2 linked regions of the Oryzias latipes genome follow. The protein of the gene in region 2 binds, or shares a complex with, the protein of the main gene of each other region. Links are inferred from orthologs where the notes say so. Each region holds a gene or a part of one and is shown on either strand. Other genes may lie near its edges.

Region 1 (10,990 bases), on a different chromosome or scaffold from region 2:
TTGAAATGAGACATTTCATTTGGAGGAGGGCACGTATGTCACACTATTTTCATTCCCCTTTGGTGTTTCTTTTGCGCATGACAGTTACATGACTCAAGGTGACAAATGGATTTTTGGGTATGTGGATGATAAGGGCAGAATAGCGGACCTCTACACCCAAACGTGTCTCTGAGTTCTTTATTTTACCTATGAAACTCTGCATTACTCAGAATTTCTTTGTGAAGCTTAAATAAAGCTTTACAAAACGCTCCACATCTTTCATCTTCAAGCATGGCTCCTATTAACAGACAACTTTGGTGTTTTTTCTCGTTAATTTATTACTTTTTTTCTTGTAGATTTACGTGTTTTATAGGCGTAAATTTACAACTTTATTCTCATATTTAATAGGAATAACTCTTTTCTCATAAATGTAGGACTTTAAAGTCATAATTAAAAAAATGTTTTTGTTTGTAAAGTGGACCTAAAACTCTGTTGTAACTCAGCTATGATTAATATATCTATAAGAAAACCTAACTCGATACACTAACATGTCTCCTTCAAAAATACTGAGCTCTGTTAGCTACCATACTGCTTGTATAGTGGGTTTAAAGCAGAGTCAAAACGTGTGACTCCAGGTTTTTTTTTTTTTTTCGTAGGAATAAGTTTAAAAAAAACGATGGTTTTAAAGAAATCATTGAAAATGGAAAATTCTCCCCCCTGCAATCAGATTTTTGAAGCAGTTTGTAAAGGAATTCATGCTCTGAGCTTCATCCTGGTTGACTCTGGGTCCATTTACTTTTAAATTGCACCTTTGGTTTAAAGTCGTCCATGATGGAACACTTTTCCACCAATCATAGTGAACATTATCTGGATCTTATCTGAGCTGTTGGCTCTAACCTTCTGCAATTGTCAAGCCAAACATAATCTCAACAACAGTCTACTCTATTTGACAAATCGCTGAACCTGTAAAGAGGTTTTCAGGTGGAAAGAATTTGAAATTGATTTGCACTGAATGACAATTTCTTTCAGTGGATTGCATCAACATTGCTCTTCACTGTATTCCCTTTTTTTAAAAGTGCAAAGGATTGTCAGTTGGGGAATGTTCAGTTTCAAGGTTTTTACTAATTATTTCCAGGTTGCATGTTTCTATGTAAATTTACTCCCATAAGCTTATTCTATTTCTCCCTATGCTATAACAAAAAGATGAATATTTCATACTCCAGCAGTGTGTACAGATGTGAAAAGGTGGCTGCTGCTCTGTGGCAATATGTCCATGAAACACACAACCTGCTGCAGTCTTATTCCCTATTAAATTCCAGTGATGCCTTCTAATGAGGCAATCCTGAAAATTACTTAAAGTATTTCATTTTTTCTAATCCTTGAGGGGTGCATCTACAGGAGTACATGCTTTAATGATAATTTTCACTAGAATTGACATTACTGTGAGTTTTTAAAACCACTAATACTGATTTATACTGGCAATACAAAAAAAAAAAAAAAAACTGGACACTAAAACTCCCAACAGAAACGTAGCAATGCCTCCAGTTCCACCATTAATCAGATGGCCACCAATAATCTGTGCATATTAGTCTGACTGATATCATTGCCATAATGGTTTGGCCTTTGGGAAAAGCCAAGTAAGATTGATCATGCTAGTAGAAGGGGTTAAAACAGCAATATGTTACTTTAGCATTACCTCAGAAGGACTGAGCTCACTCTTTCCTGATGGAGTCATAAAACAAAAGGAAAAAGGTAGGGTTGCTTTAAGAAAGAGCACCAAGTGATCATGGATATTTTTATGTTATAGTATACAGTATTTTATTTCAACATTCCCACAAATAATAATATTTTTTGCATTTTAAGCAGGATTTTGTTGCATTCTCTCATGTAGCAAATAATTTGATTTTCTTTTCCTTGTTCAGCATAATTCAGCATAACATAAATTAATTAAAACACTGATTTAATGTGCCAGAAATTGTATTTCACAATGCTTTTCTTTATAAATCAATTTTTTTCTGGTCTGTTACTTTTGCTCCCGTTCTTTTGCAAACCAACAGATATAACAGAAACTTTCTAATTTTTGACATCATTTTTCAATGCTCACTCATAGCAGACCATTCAAAGCAAATTAATAAAGTTTTAAAGTAAATAAGAAAGCAAAGGCATAATATTTTAACAAGTGGACTCCTATTGAAACCTTCTAGTAGAGATGTTATAAAAGAGTTACATGTCATTTAAACTCAACATCCACAGTCCTCTTCTCACTCCTCTTTGGTACCGAATGAATCTAAAAAGAAGACCATAAAAGCAGGTTAGAACAGAGATCCATAAGGCCCACTAACTCCTTAAAGCCTGCATTTATTTTCAGCTAGGAGAAAATAAATTTATTATAAATTTATATTAAAATAAATTTCACTTATATTTTTTGCTTTCAAATAGATGCTAAGTGAAAGTTATTTTGCAGCTAAAGTGGTTTGCTGCATTTTTGCATCAATAGACGTCAAGGTGTTTATGTTAAGCTATGTTCACACTGCCCTCGGCAATGCACATTCAAGCCACCACTTCCAATAAAAACTCTATGTAAACCCATAAAATATGTGTTTAAGGCTCCGGCGTTTAAAACCTTTATGTTCATGCGTGGTTATGCAATTTTCTCTGACCATTTTTGGGCTCTATGCAGGGGCGGAGCTACAAGGAGGCAAGGAGAGGCAAAAAAAAAGAAAAAATGGACTCCCCCAATAACTCTCCAATTTCTGAGTCAATATTAGTATCATTTTGATAAGATTTAAAAAAATCACAAATTCAAGCTTTTTAAGCACTTATAAACATCAGCCAAAAAAATAAAAAATATAATTACAACTGCTCTATTAACTTAATAACGATAACAATTGTAAAACTGTTTCGAAGAGTGGCAAATGTGAACAGCACATCACAAATGAAAAAAAAAAAAAACTTAATTTAAAGTCTTCTGTTCTTCTCCCAACCGTCCATATGAAATGTTCTTACTCCCCCACTGGCTCTTCAAACAAATGTACGGCTATTGAACATGCATTAAAAGTTAACCCAGGTCCAACTTTGACCAATCAGGGACTCGGATTTGGCAGTGATTCACATAAGTGCCAACTGTTTGAAAACTTATCATGGAGGAGAAATTATTAATTGCTCAATTGTCCGGGCACAAGTCTTTCACATACAGGAATAGAGCTGTGAAAGAAAGCCTGAAGAAAGATTCACAAGATTTGCACCGTTTTGACATTTCACACTAAGCCTTTTCCAACTGTAGGTGGCCGACATGCGATAGAAAACAATAGCAAAAGAAGAAATTCCTCCCTGCTTGTCCAGTGTGAATGCCATGGGATAAACATGCGTTCAAGAATGTATGTTTAACATCCATCCATCCATCTTCTTCCGCTCATCCAGGACATCGCAGTCTAAACAAAGATTCCCAGACTACCCTCACCCCGGCCCCTTCTACCAGTTCCTCTTGGGGGGACCCAGAGGCATTCCCAGGCCAGCCAAGACACACAGTCTCTCCAGTCCAGGATGTCCTGGGTCTCCCCCGGGGCCCACACCCAGTGGGAAATTCCCGGAGCACCTCCCCGGGGAGGCATCCAAGAGGCTTTCGGACTAGATGCCCGAGCGACCTGAACTGGCTCCTCTCAATGTGGAGGAGAAGCAGCTTTACTCTTTGCGGGTGAAAAACCTTCTCACCCTATCTTTAAGAGAGCGCCCAGCCAACCTACGGAGGAAGCTCATCTCAGCTGCTTGTATTCGGAACCTTGCTCTTTCAGTCATTACCCATAGCTCATGACCATATGTGAGTACTGGAATGAAGATAGAAATCAAAGATTTAGCAATCATGACTCATCCCAGCCGCAAACCACCCCAATGCATGCTGGAGGTCCCGGCTCTGTGAAGCCAGCAGGACAACATCAAAGAGCAGAGCAAAGAGCAGAGAGGAAATCCTGTGGTTCCCAAACCAGACCCCCTCCGGCCCATGGCTGCGCCTATAAATTCTGTCCATAAAAACTATGAACAGAACTGCCGGAGTCCATCATGTACTGGGAACAGCTCCACAGTCAGAGACCCTTCCCCCACCTGAAGACAAAGGGACATGACTCTCTCATCCACCAGGGTTAACTCCAACCCCTCTCAAGGTACTGAGTTTCAGAGCCCAGACACGGAGGTGACCCCAACTATTTCTAGCCTGTAACCTCTCAACCTGAATCATTAAAATATCACTAGTCATCTCTCACAGTCAATGCATGTGTTTTATTTCTCCACCTTTTATTTCTCCTCCTGCCTCTCAGGGATAATGTTGCACTTACCATTTACAGCATTAAGCAATTTGCCTTCTTTACTTTGGCCGGCTGAGGGCAAAGCACAGCCCTGATGGCTTCATCAAACACAGTCTTCAGGCCACGCTGGGTCAGTGCTGAGCACTCCAGGTACTTCACTGCATCTGTGTCCATATGCAAACACACAGTAAACCTCAGAAAATTGTAACAAATTCTCTTAGAATAAACAAGACAAAAACAGGTAAAACATAGAAAAACCAAAATAAGTACATTTGATTGTTTTAGCAATTCTTTTTTGTTACTGCGCCTTTAAGCAAAAAATGTCACCCCCCCCCCCCCTCCCACACACACACATACTAAAAAACTCACTACAATTTGCACATATTTAGTACCTGGTAAAATGCATTTTTGACACAGTGAATGACCCCTCCCTCAAAAATGATGAAATCACAGCAGGTGAAATTGTAAAAAATAAACAAATAAAGAATTGGGCCAAAATCTAATAAGGGGCCAAAAAAAAAAGAAATTGAACATTCAGTAATGAAACAAAACCAACATGTCAGCCATATCCAAACAAAGTTTTTATCATAGTATGGACACAGGTTCTACGGCTTGATGGCTACTACATGCCGAAGTTTGAACTTTGGTGATTTTCATATTTTTGCACATGTATGGGAAAGGACAAGCTTTGTTTGGGTGATCTTTACAAAATGTCACACACCAACGACCACCACCAAAGTTTCTTTGACCATGAGAAGCAGCTACAATCTTGAATTTTTAAACAAACCTACAATTTTAAACTCCTCCAATAGAATTTAATCTATCGCCTTTTAACTTTTTGAGCATTACTGGGAAGCTACTTGGGTAAAAAAAAGGTTGGATTTAGAAGTTGTAGATTTTGGACAGTGTAAGTGTGGCAAACTCACAAAAGTGGTGTTCGCCTGTTGCTCACACAGTTTTTACTGGAACATTATCACAAAAAATAATACATGAATCCTTGGCTCAAGCGGAACGAAATTATATGACATACAATGGAATGTGGGCGTGATTAACAAAACCCTCTGTTGCCAAGGAAATCCAAACATTTATTTTTGGCAATTCTTCAAAATTATTTTTAGACCTGTTCGTCACTACCTGGCTGCCATTTTGAAAAAAGTGGGGTTTAAAGTAGCAGTGGCAGAAGGGTAGAGTGAGGGGTGTGTAGCAGCCACTAAAGCCAATGAGGGCAGATCAGGAGGGGGTGGCTATTGCTTGCATACAACACCACTCAGGCTTTAATTCATTTTTTTAAGCTCCAAAGTAAAATCTAAATCAACATGAATTTGTCCCATAAAACATCAAATACGTATATATTAAAAGCTTTATATTTTTCTTCAAAAAGCACATTTTTAGTTACAGGGTTGAGTGTTATACATGTAAACATATTAAATCACAGATCAGATCACAAATATTTATTTAAAAAAAAAAACAGAGCTGAAACAATATTGAGTATAACTGACCAATCTCCTTAGCCAGAGCTAAGCCTTGTGGATAGGTGATTGGTGCCAGTTTTTTTTCCTTTAGCTTCTCAATCGTATCTTTCTCATCCCTCAGATCCAGCTTGGTGCCCACCAGGATGATTGGTGTGGAAGGGCAGTGGTGGCGAACCTCTGGGTACCACTGCAAATTAAGGACATGAAAAAACAAACATGGAACATTTTCCTAATTTTTCTTTATTTTTTATTTACAACTAAATGTAAGTCTGGTAATGGCGTGCTTAAACGTTAAAGACTGAAAGTAAATGTGTTTGAATTTTTTTAACTATTTGGACTTCCTCTCCTTTTCCAGATTTTTCCTGGCTAACAGTTTGTAGATTTTCTGCATTTAATTCTCTTAGCTAAATAAATAACTTTCAATGTATTTTACAGTATATTTAAAATACCAGAAGTCATATTTGAAAAGATGGTAGGATGTTATTTAGTTTATCAGAAGCCAAGGGAGAAAAACAAAGGTTAAATAACTATAGATTTAGCTACTGAAAAAAATCTGAGATAAGCTTTATTCTTTAACCACTAGCTTTTTTTTCTTACACATGAACTTCTACTCCTGCTCTTTTTGTTTAATTCTTTCCGGAAATATGTGGATTTTACTTTTCCAATGAAATGTAGATAATGATCCTGTACCAAACGGAAAAAAGCAAAAAAAAGTTGTCTTGACCATCATGAAAAAAGAATCAAAAGGGAGACACAAATTTAATTTAAATTGAGAGTTTAAACAATGGTCAAAGGTCAATAATTCATGTTGTGTGGCTACTTTAAACAGTGCACAACCTCTTTGTGTCTCAATTTCAGGAAATGTGTAAAGTAATTTACCGAGATTCAATCTGATTAGAGATAAAAAAAAACTCTAAACCTATACAAGTATATTTGCTTAATTTTAAATTAATCCAATTTCTGTTCCAGATTAGTTCTGTGCTGGATTATGGGGATTATTGCAACCCATCATAGGGTGGGGCGAATGCAACTCCTAGCAAAAAGTAACACACTTGCACTTCATTTTATTCAGTACACTAAAAAATGAGAATAGCAAATATGCAAAAGACCATCTACGAGTGGGAAGTATACTATCTAAATATAGTCAGGACCATAAATATTTGGACAGAGACACGTTCTTTCTCATTTTGTTTCTGTACATTACCACAGTGAATTTTACATAAAACAACTCAGATGCCATTGCAGTGCAGACTTTCAGCTTTTATTCCATGGGTTGAACAAAAAGATTGCATAAAAATCCTTTCATTTCATGGGATTGTAAGTAATTGGACAGATGACTTCCATGCTATTGCATGGGCAGGTGTGGCCAATTCCCTTGTTATGTCATTATGAGTGAAGCAGATAAAAGGCCTGAAGTTGATTAGAGGACTCGTGCTTGCATTTTGAAGATTTTGCTGACAACATGCGGTCAAAGGAGCTCTCCATGCAGGTGAAAGGAGCCATCATTAAGCTGAGAAAACAGAAATTGCTACAGTATTAGGAGTGGCAAAATCAACAGTGTGGTACATCCTGAGAAAGAAAGAAAGCACTGGTGAACTCAGAAACGCAAAAAGACCTGGACATCCACAGAAAACAATAGTGGTGGATGATGGCAGAATCATTTCCACTGTGAAGAGGAACCCGTTCACAACAGCCAACCAAGTGAACAACACTCTCCAGGAGATAGACGTATCAATATCTAAGTCTAGCATAAAAAGAAGACTGCATGAAAGAAGATTTAGAGGGTACACTGCAAGATGCAAACCACTCATAAGCCTCAAGAATAGGAAGGCTGGATTGGACTTTGCTAAAAAGCATCTAAAAAAGCCAGCACAGTTCTGGAAAAACATTCTTTGGATAGAATAAACCAGAATCAACCTCTACCAGAATGATGGCAAGAGAAAAGTATGGAGAAGGCGTGGAGAAGCTCATGATCCAAAGCACACTACATCATCAGTAAAACACTGTGGAGGCAGTGTGTTGGCCTGGACGTGCATGGCTGCTAGTGGCACTGGGACACTAGTGTTTATTGACGACGTGACACAGGACAGAAGCAGCCCAATGAAGTCTTTTTTTTTCCCTTTCCCTTTTTTCCCCCCTTCCTTCTCATCTATAGGCTTTAATCATCAAAATGACAAGACTGTATTACATTTTTTGTAATGATTTCATACATTAATACAAAATAATAGTCATTGGTTTTTGGTTATTTCATTTGGCTGAACAGATACATTTGTTTCAATCAAATATTAAGATGAGAGTTCACTAATAAATTTGGTTTTACATGTATCTGAATATTTCCTCAACAGAGAGAGTGCTTTAATGGCCTTGACACTCCACTACGATTCATTTTAAAGAGGAATCTCATTAGAAGAACCAGAAAAGCTTTTTGGGCCTTTGGACTTTCCACACTCTCACCACTCCGTCCGCCTCGTCACTTCCCATTTACTGATGGGGCTGCGGACATTCTCATCCCTAGGAATGTGGTTGACGGCGTTGGATTTATTGTCCATTAAAAAGATGACGATAAATAATCATTTCTGTAGTCAAGAGCAGGATGTGCACTCACAGCATAAGTTAGCTTGACAGCGAAAGATTGGCGCAGAACAGTAGTGCACTCCCGAATGAGGAAAGGGATGCAAATCAAACGGCAGACATTCAAATCTGACAAGCACTACAACAAAAATAAAAATACAATATTAATGGAAAATAAGCTCTCTTGCCTCATTATGTAAAATGAGGCAAGTGACTGCAGTTTTTTGAGTAAAGTAGTTTTACATTTCCCTCTTATTTTAATTTATTTATAAGGGTTTAAAAAAAAAATGTTTTTCCTTTTATTGGGTTTTTAACATATTTTCAAAACAGACAACACTAACAAATTACAAGAAAGAAAAAAATGAATAATGTAGATATGAAATAAAAAAGACAAAAAAAATAATTACATGTTACATGTTACATTACAGGTTACATGTGCAAAATATCTTGATCGGATCAGTGGTCGGATTAAAATTCAACCGTGTACATGGGCCTAGAAAAACTTTTTCCAATTAGAACGAATGTTCACATAGTCACACTATCGGTCGGAATAAATCATTTGGGCATGCGCAATAGTGTTGAAAATACCTGAAGAAGAAATGAGTCCCACTGTAAACAAAGTGAGCTGCCATATACATTTATGCAGCTGCTCGGTAATATACGAGATGATCTTCTTAATGTGCTTTTATTAATGTCATGAAGCGCCTGTTCCCTCATCACTTCAATTTTAATCCGTGTGGTCAGTGCTTTTTTTTTTGTGGAAGAAAGGAGCAGGAAGAAGGGTTAGGAGAAGGCTAACACGGGCTAACAACATTTAGCTTTTGACGAACATAAAGTCCATGTGGGAAATGCCGCAATCTGCATCTTGGCTGGACATAAATATGTGGGAATAAACATCAGCCTTTATTTTGTCGGGACACGACTGGAAACACAAATCCACGTGATTGTTTGAACGCTTTCTAAGGACTGAGCAGCCTTTTTGCTTTGTTTGAAAAGCTCACACACCACCCGAAAGCCGCTGTGTGAGCTGGCTGCCCAAGCTCTGCTCGGACACAAGGTTCTCCTGAGTCCGGCAGCCGCTAACCCAGAGCGGCGGGTCGGAAGCCTCCCCCTTGGAGTGCACATGCACCAAAGCACCACCGCCCTGCCTGCAAACACAAAGCTATAACTCTGGATGCTCTGCTCACAGGCACGGTTCACTCGCGCTCCAAAGCTTTCTCTTAAGCACCGCACCTTCTATGCGTGACGTAAAACCAGAGCAGTAGTGACACACGATCGGAATGAACTGTTTACATGCAACTCGATCAGATAAACAATCGGCATAACCCACCTATCTTGATCGGAAAGAAATTGTGATCCCAACAAGTCTGATTGGGGTAGAGTATTCCGAACGGCGTGTTTACATGACGCATTTTTCTTCCAATCAGGCATTCTTTCTGATTACTTTTGTCCATGTAAACGCAGCTAGTGTCAGAGAAACATCAGACCAAAAGTTTGACAGCTTAGAGCAACCCCAAAACATGTGCGACAAAGATGCTGGAGCCTGTCCACAGCGTATACTGTGGACAGGCTCACAGTATACGACAGGGAATATCTTACTCAGTCTGAGCCTTGTACCGTGGAGCCTGTGTATTATCTTAGACTGAATCAAACCATGCCTGGCACAGATTGAGGTTGTGTGTGTGGAGCCTAAAGCTAGATCCCATTGCTCTTCTGAAATATTTCTTCTGAGCTCCCTCAAGTGCTGCAAAGTGCTGTGGCCATTGAGGTGGCTCAGTTTATTATGCAAATGTGAGATTCCTCCTCTAGTCGCAGGGTCTTTCAAGAATAATGAATCGGTAACAGATTCCTCTGGGAGTTGTGGGTAATTTGGAGAGTTGTGCCTAACAAAAACTTTAGTGAGTATTAGGCAAGTTATATTTGTCTTTCAACTACTAGATCAAATGATGAAAACAAACCATCAATATAAAGATCTTTGAAAACACGCAGTCCACGATCATACCAGTCAGCAAAATTAACATTTTTCATTGAAGGAGAAAACAAATGTTTTTTAACAATAGGGCCTGACAATGGATTTGCCTGGAGACCAAAATGATGCACAATCTGTTTCCATATTTTGACTGTATGAGATACAACCAAATCCTTAATCTTTTTTAGTGATATTGTAGTTATGTCTGCAAAAAAAAAATGCCTTAGGGGAAGAAGGGTTGCAATGGTTCTGTACTATCTCCATCCAGTTTGGAAATTTCTCTGTGATCCAAAATGAGATATTTTTAAGTTTACAAGCCCAATAATAAAGCTGAAAATTTGGTAAGCCCATTCCTCCTGAGGATTTTGGTCTTTGTAGAAACTACCGTTTAATCCAAGAGACTTTCTTATTCCAAATGAATTCCAGTATTCTCTTGTCTAGTTTTTTGAAGAAACAATTGCTTAGGTGGAGAGGAATAGATTGAAACATAAAAAACATGTGGGCAGCACTGTCATTTTAATCACCCCCACACGATCGGCAAGAGAGAGTGGAAGAAAAGACCATCTCTCAAGGTCACTTGTGGTTTGTTCTGCTAGTTTGGCGAAATTTTGGTTGTAAAGTTTTTTTACCGATGAGGTAACTGTAACTCCCAAATATGCAAATTGGTATGAAATCATGAAGGGAATTCCAGATCTATTGAC
Region 2 (11,660 bases):
CACTGACTGTTGGGTTTGTCTCAGCGTACCGTCTGCTCTTCATTTCCATTGCTGTCGTTCCCAGAACTGAGACCTGAACGGCAACAGACCAGATCAAACATGGAGAAACGGAGGAAACGAGAATGTTTTAAAGCCTGTGTGTCATAAAATCTACCTCGAGTCCTCTCCGGTATATTCGGTGCTTCTCGACTTGAAGTTGGAACCAAACCCTGGTGACAGTTATTCCCATTAAAGGCAATTTTCAACAACACGCAAAAATTTGAGAGGAAATCAGGATACTTAAAGATTGAAACTACTCCACATGTCAAAGTTGAGCTTTTAATAAAAAATATAAATATTGTGTATCAATTAGGGATGCCACAAGTGTTGATCAGAAACCAAACCGTATGTTAAACCATTAAAGTGAATCGTTGAACACGGCATACCAGTGTTTTAGGTTAAAAGTGTTCAACAAGTGTGCTAAATTTAAAAAGCATTCAGGCTGTATTCAGATTGGAAACATTTGCTCAACTTGAAGAGAACCAGAGTTCATTTCAAGTTTCATTCTGAGGACCCTGGCAAGCAGACCCTGATCCTGGACCAGGAACCGCTCTCTGATCCGTCTTTCGAGGTGGTTTCAGTTCATTTCCAATCAGACTCATTTCTGGAGTTTTTCTCAGTCTGAATAGACTCCATATTCAGAGCAGAACAACTGAACCTAAACGGCTACCTCATCTTTACAGGATGTAAACGGATGAGCCGCAGAGAATTGTGGAGCGACGATGAGACGCAGCAACTCATTAAATTTAATGAGCAACTCTTTAGCTCATTAAAATAACTTTTAACGTGATACACATTGTTTTCACAGTGTTTCCCGACAATCTGTGTCATAAACAGTTATCTTGCAGCCTCCGACACAGACGTTCAAAATTGTTCAGCAAAATATAAAGTTTGGATAATCCGACATGGATTGTAGGACTTTCATTATTTATCTCCTTGCTGTGTCCTGCCAATGGTTGCAGAGATTTTCAATCACATGCTTTTGTTTACAAGCTTTGGTTCGAAACAAATCTCCAGCTGAAAAGCCATCTGAGTACAGACCAAATGCAAGGTTCAGGACTTGATCCAGACCAAATTAGGCAAACTGGGTCTAGACCAACTAACTTCTCCAGTCTGAATACATCCTAGTATTTATTGTTTTGTTACATTACCCCAACCCCAAGTATGAGCCAAGTGAAGTCTTTCACTTCATTGTAACTCGCTGATTACCAAATTAAAAAAAAGGATTTGTCCAAATTTTTTGTTTTTTGTCATTTTATAAACAAATCTTATATCAAAATGACACAAAACTGTGACCCAAAAAAAAATCAAAATTTGTGCTAAATCGTGGAGAAAGTGAATCGTTGCATCCCTAGTACCAATACCTTTTTCTGTTTTAAAGCCAGAGAGATCTCCTGACGCTCCAGGTAATTGTACGGTACGAGTCCCGTCTGTAATCATAACCACGAATAAGCACTCAGTTCTCTACTAAACACACAATCTGGGGGAAAAAAATGATGCACACACTCTCAAGAAGTATCACAGATTGTGCATACGGCATTCTTACTCTTCCATTGAAGATGACATAGGCCCAGTTGTCTGCCCCTTTCTGCAGCACGAACACCATGTTGCCGGGCTTCACGGCCAGCTCGTCGCAGGTTTCAGGAACAAACTCAAACAGTACAGTGTGGGGTTCACCTTCCAAGGCTCTATGAAGAATAGACACACAAAGGGTATCGTAACACACGTGTCTTTTTGTCATTGAAGGAAGATGACGTTTAATTTGATGAAAATTAGAAAACCCTTTTACACGAAAGGACAAAGACATTCAGCAAAAAGATATTAAAAAACATTTTATCAATTTCTACTTGATAGATTTTTAAAAAAACTTGGGATGTACCTTAAAACTTCTGGTTCTCTTGGAGAAAGTGGACCATCTTCAACCTGTTTAGTGATTAAGAAGGAGATTATCCAGTCAGTCCCTGATTTACTGAGTCATACTGGTTCTTGAGGGCTCCAGTGTTTTCCCCAGTCCTGTCTAGTATACGGGATGTACACACAAAACTCACAAAAGGTAATCCTAATTTCAAATTAAATATAAAATTAAAAGGCATAAAATCTTTTATACATGGGCAATGTTTAAATGCACATCCAAAGATTCAAGAATTTTTTCACAACAGCCTGCCACAAATAAGATTTTGTTTACTGACTGTGTTTAAACCATGACTCAACCTCCTGATGTTCTGGTTCTGATGGAATGACAGATAGGGACTTGTATTTGTGACTTGGACTTGACTTGGACCAAAGTCTCACATGCAAATATTTGAATTTAACCTCCAGGTTTGGGACTTGTGAATAAATAATGTTTGTTAAAAAATTATCTTTAAGAAGCTTTGCCGAAACATAAACTGTCTGTTTTAATGTCCACAAAAATGTGATGACAATTTGTGTTAGTAGACTCTTCATTAAAATTCAAATTTGAGACTTGAAATGACAGACTTGAGACTTCAGAGTTGATTTGGACTTGGAAAAAAGGGACTTGTGACCTTCTCTGTCTTTTAAACAGCTTGAATAGCAGATGTGCTGACTTTCTGCTTACAGGTTATTCTGAAAAGTGATTGAGATACGGACGGATGGATGAATGGATACTTTTTCGATCCCGACAAGTTGTACTACACTTGTCACTGCTTTTAGCTTAGTGTCAATAAAAAATGTAGGAGGGAGAAACAAACATCGCATGCTTCTAAGGCTCATTTTCAAGCTGGAAGGTTGCGTGGACATTTCACAATTTTTCAGAATTTTTTGTTGCCTCATCACAGCATTTAGCAACGAAAAATACGAATCTCCGTCACCTGTGGCTGCAGAGGAGCAAATCCAGAAAAATCGTCTTGTGGATTGACAGAGGCAACAACCTGATCATCAAACAAACAATACACAGATTGTTAAGTTCACCCTCAAGATTTCCCAAATCATGTAAGATGATTTATTTCAATGAAAAAGATTTATTCTTACTTTGGCTTTGCCCAGGTAGTCTTTCTTCTCCAGCTCTGCAACGTAATGTTTATTTGGTTTAAACATCATTTTTGATGGGAACTCCACTAGTTTGAACAGCTTCTCCTTCTGTCAATGAAATCGCATCAAAAAGATGTCCTAAATCTGACATTTCAAAACCGCATTCTGTCCCTAAACTTTCCATGGAGGCACGGTTGGACCTGAACTTACTGGACAAATAAAGACATTATTTACTCTGACGAGATCCTTAGCAGAGATGAAACTGCAGATGTGTTTTGTTTAATAGTTTTTAAATGTGTGGATTAACATTTTAAAATATTTATTTATATTCCTGCTGAATCCCTTATAGGGGTCACAGGGCTGCTGGAGCCTATCCCAGTCGACTGTTAAAATTACTTTTTAGATCCCCCCCCCTCCATGTAAATTGGGCACTTTAAGAGAAACCCTCGTTTTTCATCAGATCAATGCTAACCAGGACTGCCTGCTGAGCTTTTTCGATGACACTGAGCTTGGCGTCTGTTTTGTAGTCAAGCGCCTTCCTGAGGTTTTGCTCAGCCTTTTCCCAGTTTCCCAGCTGAGCCTCAGCCAGGGCCATGTTGTGGAGAACCTTTGAAAGGAGAGATTTTATTTAGAGCTTTTCTCATGCAAACAGCAGAATTGGAAGGTGTTATGATTTAGTGATGATGTAGTAGATTGTGCCTAAGGTTGAAAACACCTACCTCACATGCATATAGAATATATCTGAGACCAAGGGCCTTGTAATCGATCAGGTTGTTTCCTCTTAGCGTTTTGAAGGCTCTCTGGAAGTCACCAATGCTCTCTTCGTACCTTTACAGATGTGTGATCAAATAAATTGCATAACAAATCAGTGAAAACTTGTGGTTTAGGTGCAAATACTTAACAGGTGTTCTGAATTTGGAATGAAATGGAAGGAAATTGGTCGTTGTTTGTAAAAAGCCGGTGTGTCTTACCTCATCTTCTTATAAAAGGTGATTCCTCTTTGAAAGAAAGCCACTGCCAAATGCTCATCCTTGCGAATGCTGCAATCGAACGCCTATGAAACAGCAGCAACTTCCTTTACAAAAACGCTTTCAGCACCACTTCTTGTTTCACTGCGACTCGCACTTACACTACAATCGAATTCAATCTCTGCCTCACCGGTTGCATCCAGATAACTGATGTTTTCAGATTTCTAGTTTTCTATTTTAGGAGCAAATTAATAGTTGAGAAATGCTTGACTTTACCTTTTCAGCATCATCCAAGTTCTGGTTAAGCAGATGCAGACAGCCGATGTTGAAACAAATCTTGGAGTTTGGCTCAGGAATGGCCAAGAGAATCCGGAGAGCTTCCGAAAAATCCTGTTTGTCAGCACAGGTTACGCCGTCATCCCACTGTCGCAGAGTGTCCACAAAAGACATTTTGGCTGCCGCTGAGACACAGTGACTGAATTGAGGAAGTTTCTCTGATTTATGCCATGAAAAACAGGAAGTTGATGACAACGTTCAATGAATTTGCATCAACGCCATGTGCTCTTGAGTCCAAGTCAATATAGTAAGAATCGTGGTTTGATCTGTGAATCGTTGATCTGAAAAAATTATGGGTGTTTAAATATTTACTGTAGTATTTTAAGAGTAAATAATGAAGTAAAGTGCAATAGTAGTACTCCCCACCTCATCATTATCTTTGGTTAATTTTATGATTTACATGGATTTGTATTAGCAATACCGTATTTTTTTCATTTTTTTTCATTTACTCATCACAAAGTCTACCTTAAGTTAAGATTTTCCAAAACTTCACTGATTAAAAATGAATTAATAAAAATTGTGTGAACCCATATATTTAGCCAAAACAAAAGAACAGGTTATTTTATTACCTCAATGTTTTTTAAATTTATTCTTTTATTTTATGTGCCTTAAGAGATAAATGAAAACTTATGAGTAATTAAAACATTATTTTAACATTATTTAGCAAAGTTTGAGGCTTAAATCTGGCATTACAGTCTGCAAAACAAAATAGAATGAAAAAACAAACAAAAAAAAAAGGTTACATCTCAGGTTTTAATAGACTTTTTCTTTAAGTTATATAGATTAGTGTAAACATTAACAAAGTTATAAGAAAATAAATTATTTTAGAGTTTTGATTTTTTTTCTCTTGTCCTTAAAATTGTTGAATTGTTGGCCAACACTCTTTAAAATTTTTCTTATTTCCCCAACCTTTTAGCGAGACAAAAATATACTTTCTGGTACTTATCTTGAATTAATTAAATGCATTTTCTTTAGTATGTAGTAAATAGTAAATACTTCTTCCATTCCATTAAAATCCAATTTCTACATCTGTTGGAACAAACACTTTTATTTCAAAAGCTAAGATGTAAAATTAGATAAGATATAAAATAGCTAAGCCATAAAGTTAGAAAATGTATCGATTGGTTATTACGAAATGATACGAAACTTCACAATTTTTGGAATATATTTTATTTACTAAAATAGATTTTTAATTTGTAATCCAGACTATTTTATCAGAAGGAGTTCAATTGTTTGTGAGAAGTAAAAAATAAATAAAAATAAGCAAAAAAACAAACAAAAGAAAACGCAGTGAAATTATTGAAGTGGTTATAAAAAATTAAACCTAATGGAAAAGCCTAAAGAATGCACTTTATTTGGCCTTTTCCCTTCTTTTGTTAATGTTTTATCACCTGCTATGTACTTGTATAATTTTGTTATAATTTGAGTTGTTGTTCCGGGATTTAAATCTTGTTATTCATCAATTTTAATTGGAGGGGGAAAAGGGAAAGGCTTTTATTTAATAAAAATAAAATTGTAGAAAGTGACGTATTTCCGTTAGAATAGTTAGCTTGATACTGCCGTCGCTACTAAACAAACATGGCTTGGCTACTTTTTCTAACAACGAACCTTTTGGATACGTAGGGAAACTTAGAGGGAACTATGCAGCTACGACTTGGGAACGTCATGTGCATGACACAACTGCATAGATGAAGAGCAGCTATAATTGTGTAGCTAGTTTGCTCGGGAAAGCTTTTTTGTGACCGTGTTTTGCACCAGTTAGCTCAAAAAGTGGCTAACTAACTTAAGCTAGCAAAATGGACCTTGGAACGATGTTGTACAATAACTTAAAGGATGTAACGTGGAGCACGACGTCTCTGCCGCTAGACCAGCTGGTCAGTGCGTACAAGTTGCCACAAATTGTCATGCTGGATAACGGTTAGTAACTTACTTCAAGTTTTATAGCTACCATGCTAGCCAGTTAAGGCTTCTGCTTATCAGCTCTAGTCTAAGCTAATGAAAAACAAAGATTCGCTTTAGTGCAATAATGCTATAAACTGATTGATATAAAAGCAACCTTGATGGTAATGAATAAGAATTTAGGTCATGAAGTAAAAACGAAAAGGCTATTTTGCTAATCAAAGGAAAACGCTGAAGGTGTAAAAAAACAACAACATTGCCTTCACAACATCATGAGTCCCCTAGTATGTCTACACTTTATTTAACTAGAAAGTGTCTTTGACAAAAGTTAACATCTACTTAGTTAAATTTGTGTTTTTCATTTCATAATTTAAATGTATAAAACATGCAGAAATTGTGTGGGATTATGTCTAATGGATTTTAAATTACCTTTTAAAATGTCTCTTTTAGCAGGTGATGGTTATCCATAATGTAATGTTTTGAAGTAAAAAGGCTCGTGTCCAGTACTTGATTCATTTTTAAAAAACTTTATTTGTAAGTTGAACATACATTTTTATGTGTAATTTCTGACACATTTATTTATTCAAATCTTAATATTTTCCTTTTCAGGAAGCAACTCACTGGATAGACTATATTATTAAAAGCTTCATCCAGACCTGATTGTATCATAAACTCTTTGTGTACTTTGGTTGATTGTTAAACTTCCTTTCTGCAGCTCAGTTGGTTGAGGGCCTCAGAGAAAACGACTACCTCTTGATTCATTCCTGCCGTCAGTGGACAACTATAACTGCTCACAGTCTAGAGGAGGGACATTATGTGATTGGGCCTAAAATAGAGATCCCAGTTCATTATGAAGGTAAGGAGCCGCCATGAAGATGGTGCTTCCTTTGAAATGGCTCTTTCTTATCTAAATTATTCATCGTGTATGCTTTCAAAAGTTTTCTGAGTGATTATTTTGAGAAACTGATGAACCACCAACTGCTTACTTCTCATGTGATGGCAGAAGCGATGGAAAATATCAGCACTAATCATTCGTGTTCTGCTTAGGCCAGTTCAAGTTGCTGGAACAGGACAGAGATGTCAAGGAGCCCGTGCAATACTTCAACAGTGTGGAGGAGGTGGCCAAAGCCTTCCCCGAAAGAGTGTACGTCATGGAGGACATCACGTTTAATGTTAAGGTACACTTTCCCCTTCCAAAGTGATCATTTTGATGAATAGGACCGAGATGAGCATCCGAATACTCAGATATACGCCATCTTTTCCAGAAAACTGTACCAATATTTGTGACGTGGAAATATAGTGGAATATATATAAAAAATAAATTATCACTGTAAAATACAGAAAAATGTTGGATTTTAAGTTTAAAAACTAAACAAACTGAATGGACTTCTGTCACAGGAAGTAAACAAATTTTCAGAGTAAAGTGTCAGAGAAGGTTCTCGTTTTCAAAGTAAAGCTATCAAGTGTTTTCTCAGATACAAAAAATGGGAGTAAAATTTTGAAATAAATTCTGAAAAAAACATTTTATTTAAAAAGTAGTTGATAATTTAAAGAAAAATTAGAATGAATAGGACATTTTAAAATATTATTAAAATCTTCTGTTCAGTTATGTGACGTACCAGAACATGTCTGCAAAATATTCATCTAAAGTGTGGAGGTTTTTTGTGTTTTCCACTAAAGATGAAAACAGTGAGTTAATAAAATATGTTTGCTGGAAACTCTGCTGTTAGTTTAGATTAAAGAACAGTTCCTATTTATTACAGAGTCACTTTTATTGAGGTGTTGCTGTGTCTTCATTTATTGTTTTCTTATCATCCATCTACTGGAACTTTAGTCAGCCAAACTCTGAAGATGGAAAAACTGTGGAGAACACTTCCAGGACTGGATGTTAAACGATCCAAAGCAACAGTGACGATTATGTTTTGTACACTACTGAATTTGACCAGGAAGGTTACAGAAAAACTTACACAAGTGTGACATTATTTAAAGTGACAAATACCTTTTCTTTCTTTTAAAATATTTGAGCTTTTATTTATGTTTTGCTGATTCTTGTATCCTGTTCTGAACAAATGTGTAAATGATGTTTATAGATCCAACAAAAACACGTACATGAGGCGACCATTCATTCATAATATATTAAATGGAAAGAATTGTGGTTTGATCTGTGAATCGTTGATCTAAGAAATGATCCACATCCCTAATTAGGAGGCATTTCCAGTTTTTTCCAGCAGCAGGACATGCTATAGCACGTCTATGTTCATAAAATGTTCATCTCTTTTTTTTAATAGGCATTACTATGAAATGATGTGTATCACGTTTCTTTTATTGTAGAGACTTCTACCAAAAATCACTTAGACCTGATTCTCTTAGAGTTCAATGGAAGTTGGTGGAACTGATGCCATGAATGTTTTAACTTGGTGTGGCCAGATGTTGGGAAACGTGGTAGTTTGGCAACTCTGAAGCACAATCCTCCATTTCCTTCGTCTTACTGAAGGGGGAACTGGTTGTTGTTTTCTGCTAAAGTTGTTTTAATTAAACCACCAAATGTGAAAGTCAGACCGCCCTTAACAGCTGCCAGCTTGCATTCCATGACTTCCTTATCAATACCACAATGCACCTGGAGTAAAAGCCCTCAGAGAAAAACCAGTCATGAAAAACACAGAAACAACTTTTTAAAAAGTGGTTTTAAACAGGCATTTCATAGTCTGTGTCTTTTTTTTGGTTGATTGCTCAATAGAAAGAAGCTGTTAACTAGTTTAGGTTAATGTTCTATAATTGTTTTTCTGTCCTAGATGGCTTCAGGGGAATGCAATGAAGAGACAGAAGTTTACAACATTACGCTGAGCACCGGTGATGAGCTCACATTAATGGGCCAGGCAGAGATCCTCTACGCCAAAAGCTCCAAAGAAAAATCACGACTAAACACTATTTTTAAGAAGATCGGGAAGCTTCACTCCATCAGCAAGATCGGCCGGGGCAAGATGCCGTGCTTGATCTGCATGAACCATCGCACAAACGAGAGCATCAGTCTCCCGTTTCAGTGCAAAGGCAGGTTTAGCACCTGCAGCCCGCTGGAGCTTCAGATGCAGGACGGCGAGCACACCATCAGAAACATCGTGGAAAAAACCAGACTCCCCGTCAATGTCATCGTGCCCAGCAGTCCACCCCGGAACCAGTATGACCTTCACCTCGTCCGGGAGGGTCACCGCTATAAGCTGGTCAACATCCAGACAAAGACGGTGGTTGTGTGCTGCATTCTGCGGAACAACAAAATCATTCCCTTCCATTTTCCCTTTCATATGGCCATGCCGAGGTTCATCGTCCCAGAGGAGCTTTTGCAAGGGGAGCTGTGGCTGGAGACAATGGTGCATCGCTGGTTCTCCTTCTGCCAGGAGCAGTTTGACATAGACGATTACTCCCGGGCCGTCCGGGATGTGCGGACAGACTGGAGCGACGACGTAAAAAGTCCCAACAAAGGCAGTGGGAATGGCACCTGCTCCGGAAGCAGTGGAGGCAACGGCGGTTCCAACGGTTGCAGCAGCCACATACAGATCCCCAACTCCTTAACGTACGCCCGCGATGAACTCACCCAGTCCTTTCATCGACTGTCTGTGTGCGTTTACGGAAGCAACCTGCACGGAAACAGTGAAGTTAACCTGCAGGGATGCATGGCGCTATGTGGAGATTGGACTCTTCTGCCCTCTGACGGCCAGTACTCTGAATCGGGAGAAAACGAGCACCTTTTCCCTGAGCTGCTGGATAGCACGACCCAACAGCCGACCTTCAACAAGCTGGACGGTCCGTATGAGGAGCTGTGGTTGGATCACTTAAGAGGACAGACGCCTAAACCCTCCTCAAGTGAAGGAATACGAGGTGTCAACAACGGCTGTCCTGTCGCAGCTCCACTGTCCTTCCCAGTCTCTTGTCCCGTCTGTCCTATAGCCAGTTTAGATGTGCCTCTTACTCCACCTCCTGTCCCACCCAAGTCTGAAGCCGTGAGTATTTTATGTTCCTACTTCAAGTTCTAGTTCTTACAGGCCACGTCAAAGAAAAAATCCACGCGTTTTTAAAACACGTCCATCAGAAAGTTCTTTTATGTACGAATTTTTCAGACCATAAGTTGCTCCGGAGTATAAGCCTCAGCAGCCGAAAAATACAAAATCCTATACGAGTCGTACTGAAGTATAAGTCACACTTTTAGGAGAAATTTATCTAACAAAATACGGGAACCATTGTTAATCAATCTCCACTGTGTCGTGTCTCCTGAACAGAATGTGTTCAGTTCACCAAATCTACAGAAATAATGCATCGCAATCAGATCTTTGTTTTCAATTTATAATACTGGACCTATTATTCTACAAAGGTTTGAAATTTGAGAGTTTAAACAATAAAGAAAAGTGTGAAAATGTTCATTTCTGGCTGAGAAAAGTGTGTAGTCAGGGGTGCCGTCTGGAAAATTAAAATTAAGACGACTACTTTGTGGATTTTACTTATCGCAATTTTTAGAACATAACTCCTACAAGAAACGTGGGAAAACAGATCCAAACAGGAAACATGTCCTTTATACCACCTTAGATCCCTGTGTGGTCTAGATGTTCAAACTCTATAATGAAACTTGTACGACTCACCGCCTGAATGACCAAGACTCACCAATGACAATATCTGGAAACTCCAGAGTCAGTTGTGGAAGGAAGGTCATAGGAGCAGATTGTGTTGAAATGATTAAGATTTAAATATTTATATCTGACTGGATCTGTCATCATTTTTCAGAAGGAGCCATCAGAAATTTTGTTATTTAAAAAAATAAAAATAAACTCCCCGGAGCGCCTGAAATTGACTGTTGGAAATGCAATCAATGTACGAGTAAAACCGTCTTTAAAGGATCTGTTTCAAAAAACTTTATTTAAAAAAAACACTTCCCAATAAAGGAAATCTGCTTCTGTAGTGTCACAGATGCATAAGAACAGCACGTCTGTCTGTTGGAGACGATGAGTGACATTTTTAGGTTGTGACACTCATCAATCCGACTGGGAGTGTTTGACGCTCAGCTTGATGCGATGATCACCCGCCGACAGCTCCAGGCTGGGGAACAGGTTTTTCACTCAGAACATTTGTAAAGAATAAAGCAAATTAGCGAAGGAGAAACACACAGTCCCATTCATGCCTAAAGAAATGACTGGAACGTTGTTCTCAGAATGCAAGTTTTCGCCGCACAAATGGTTTTCTCCGCCAGCAGTTAGTTAGGTGGCAGCTCCTTATCAGAACACAAACAATATTGTGTTTTATTACTGAAACATCAATTTAGTGTTAACTCTCTAAAAAACAAAGGGGATGCTTTTCTGTCTAAGAGAATAAAATGTTTTTTAAAAATATTTTAGAAGTTGTGCAACATTCTCTGCACTTTAAAGACCCACTCCAGACCGTGTT

Evidence for each region.
Region 1: ncf2 (region 2) and ras-related C3 botulinum toxin substrate 2 share a complex: the UniProt entries of both Homo sapiens proteins name them as parts of the phagocyte NADPH oxidase complex. The link is inferred for Oryzias latipes from reciprocal best matches to the Homo sapiens genes NCF2 and RAC2.

The regions. Positions count from the first base shown.
Region 1 is NC_019859.2:25,183,126-25,194,115, forward strand, and holds the end of ras-related C3 botulinum toxin substrate 2, read right to left. Parts: intron 5,937-10,990; coding exon 5,777-5,936; intron 4,442-5,776; coding exon 4,311-4,441; 3' UTR 4,308-4,310; intron 2,267-4,307; 3' UTR 1,771-2,266; downstream 1-1,770. UniProt on the Homo sapiens protein: Plasma membrane-associated small GTPase which cycles between an active GTP-bound and inactive GDP-bound state.
Region 2 is NC_019878.2:10,708,813-10,720,472, forward strand, and holds the start of ncf2 (neutrophil cytosol factor 2), read right to left. Parts: upstream 4,679-11,660; 5' UTR 4,449-4,678; coding exon 4,275-4,448; intron 4,085-4,274; coding exon 4,002-4,084; intron 3,859-4,001; coding exon 3,750-3,858; intron 3,638-3,749; coding exon 3,503-3,637; intron 3,139-3,502; coding exon 3,031-3,138; intron 2,931-3,030; coding exon 2,871-2,930; intron 1,963-2,870; coding exon 1,919-1,962; intron 1,728-1,918; coding exon 1,586-1,727; intron 1,470-1,585; coding exon 1,404-1,469; intron 210-1,403; coding exon 155-209; intron 74-154; coding exon 30-73; intron 1-29. Other genes in the region: garem1 (GRB2-associated and regulator of MAPK protein 1), read left to right, coding at 6,131-6,251, 6,949-7,089, 7,281-7,411, 9,026-10,228. UniProt on the Homo sapiens protein: Subunit of the phagocyte NADPH oxidase complex that mediates the transfer of electrons from cytosolic NADPH to O2 to produce the superoxide anion (O2(-)).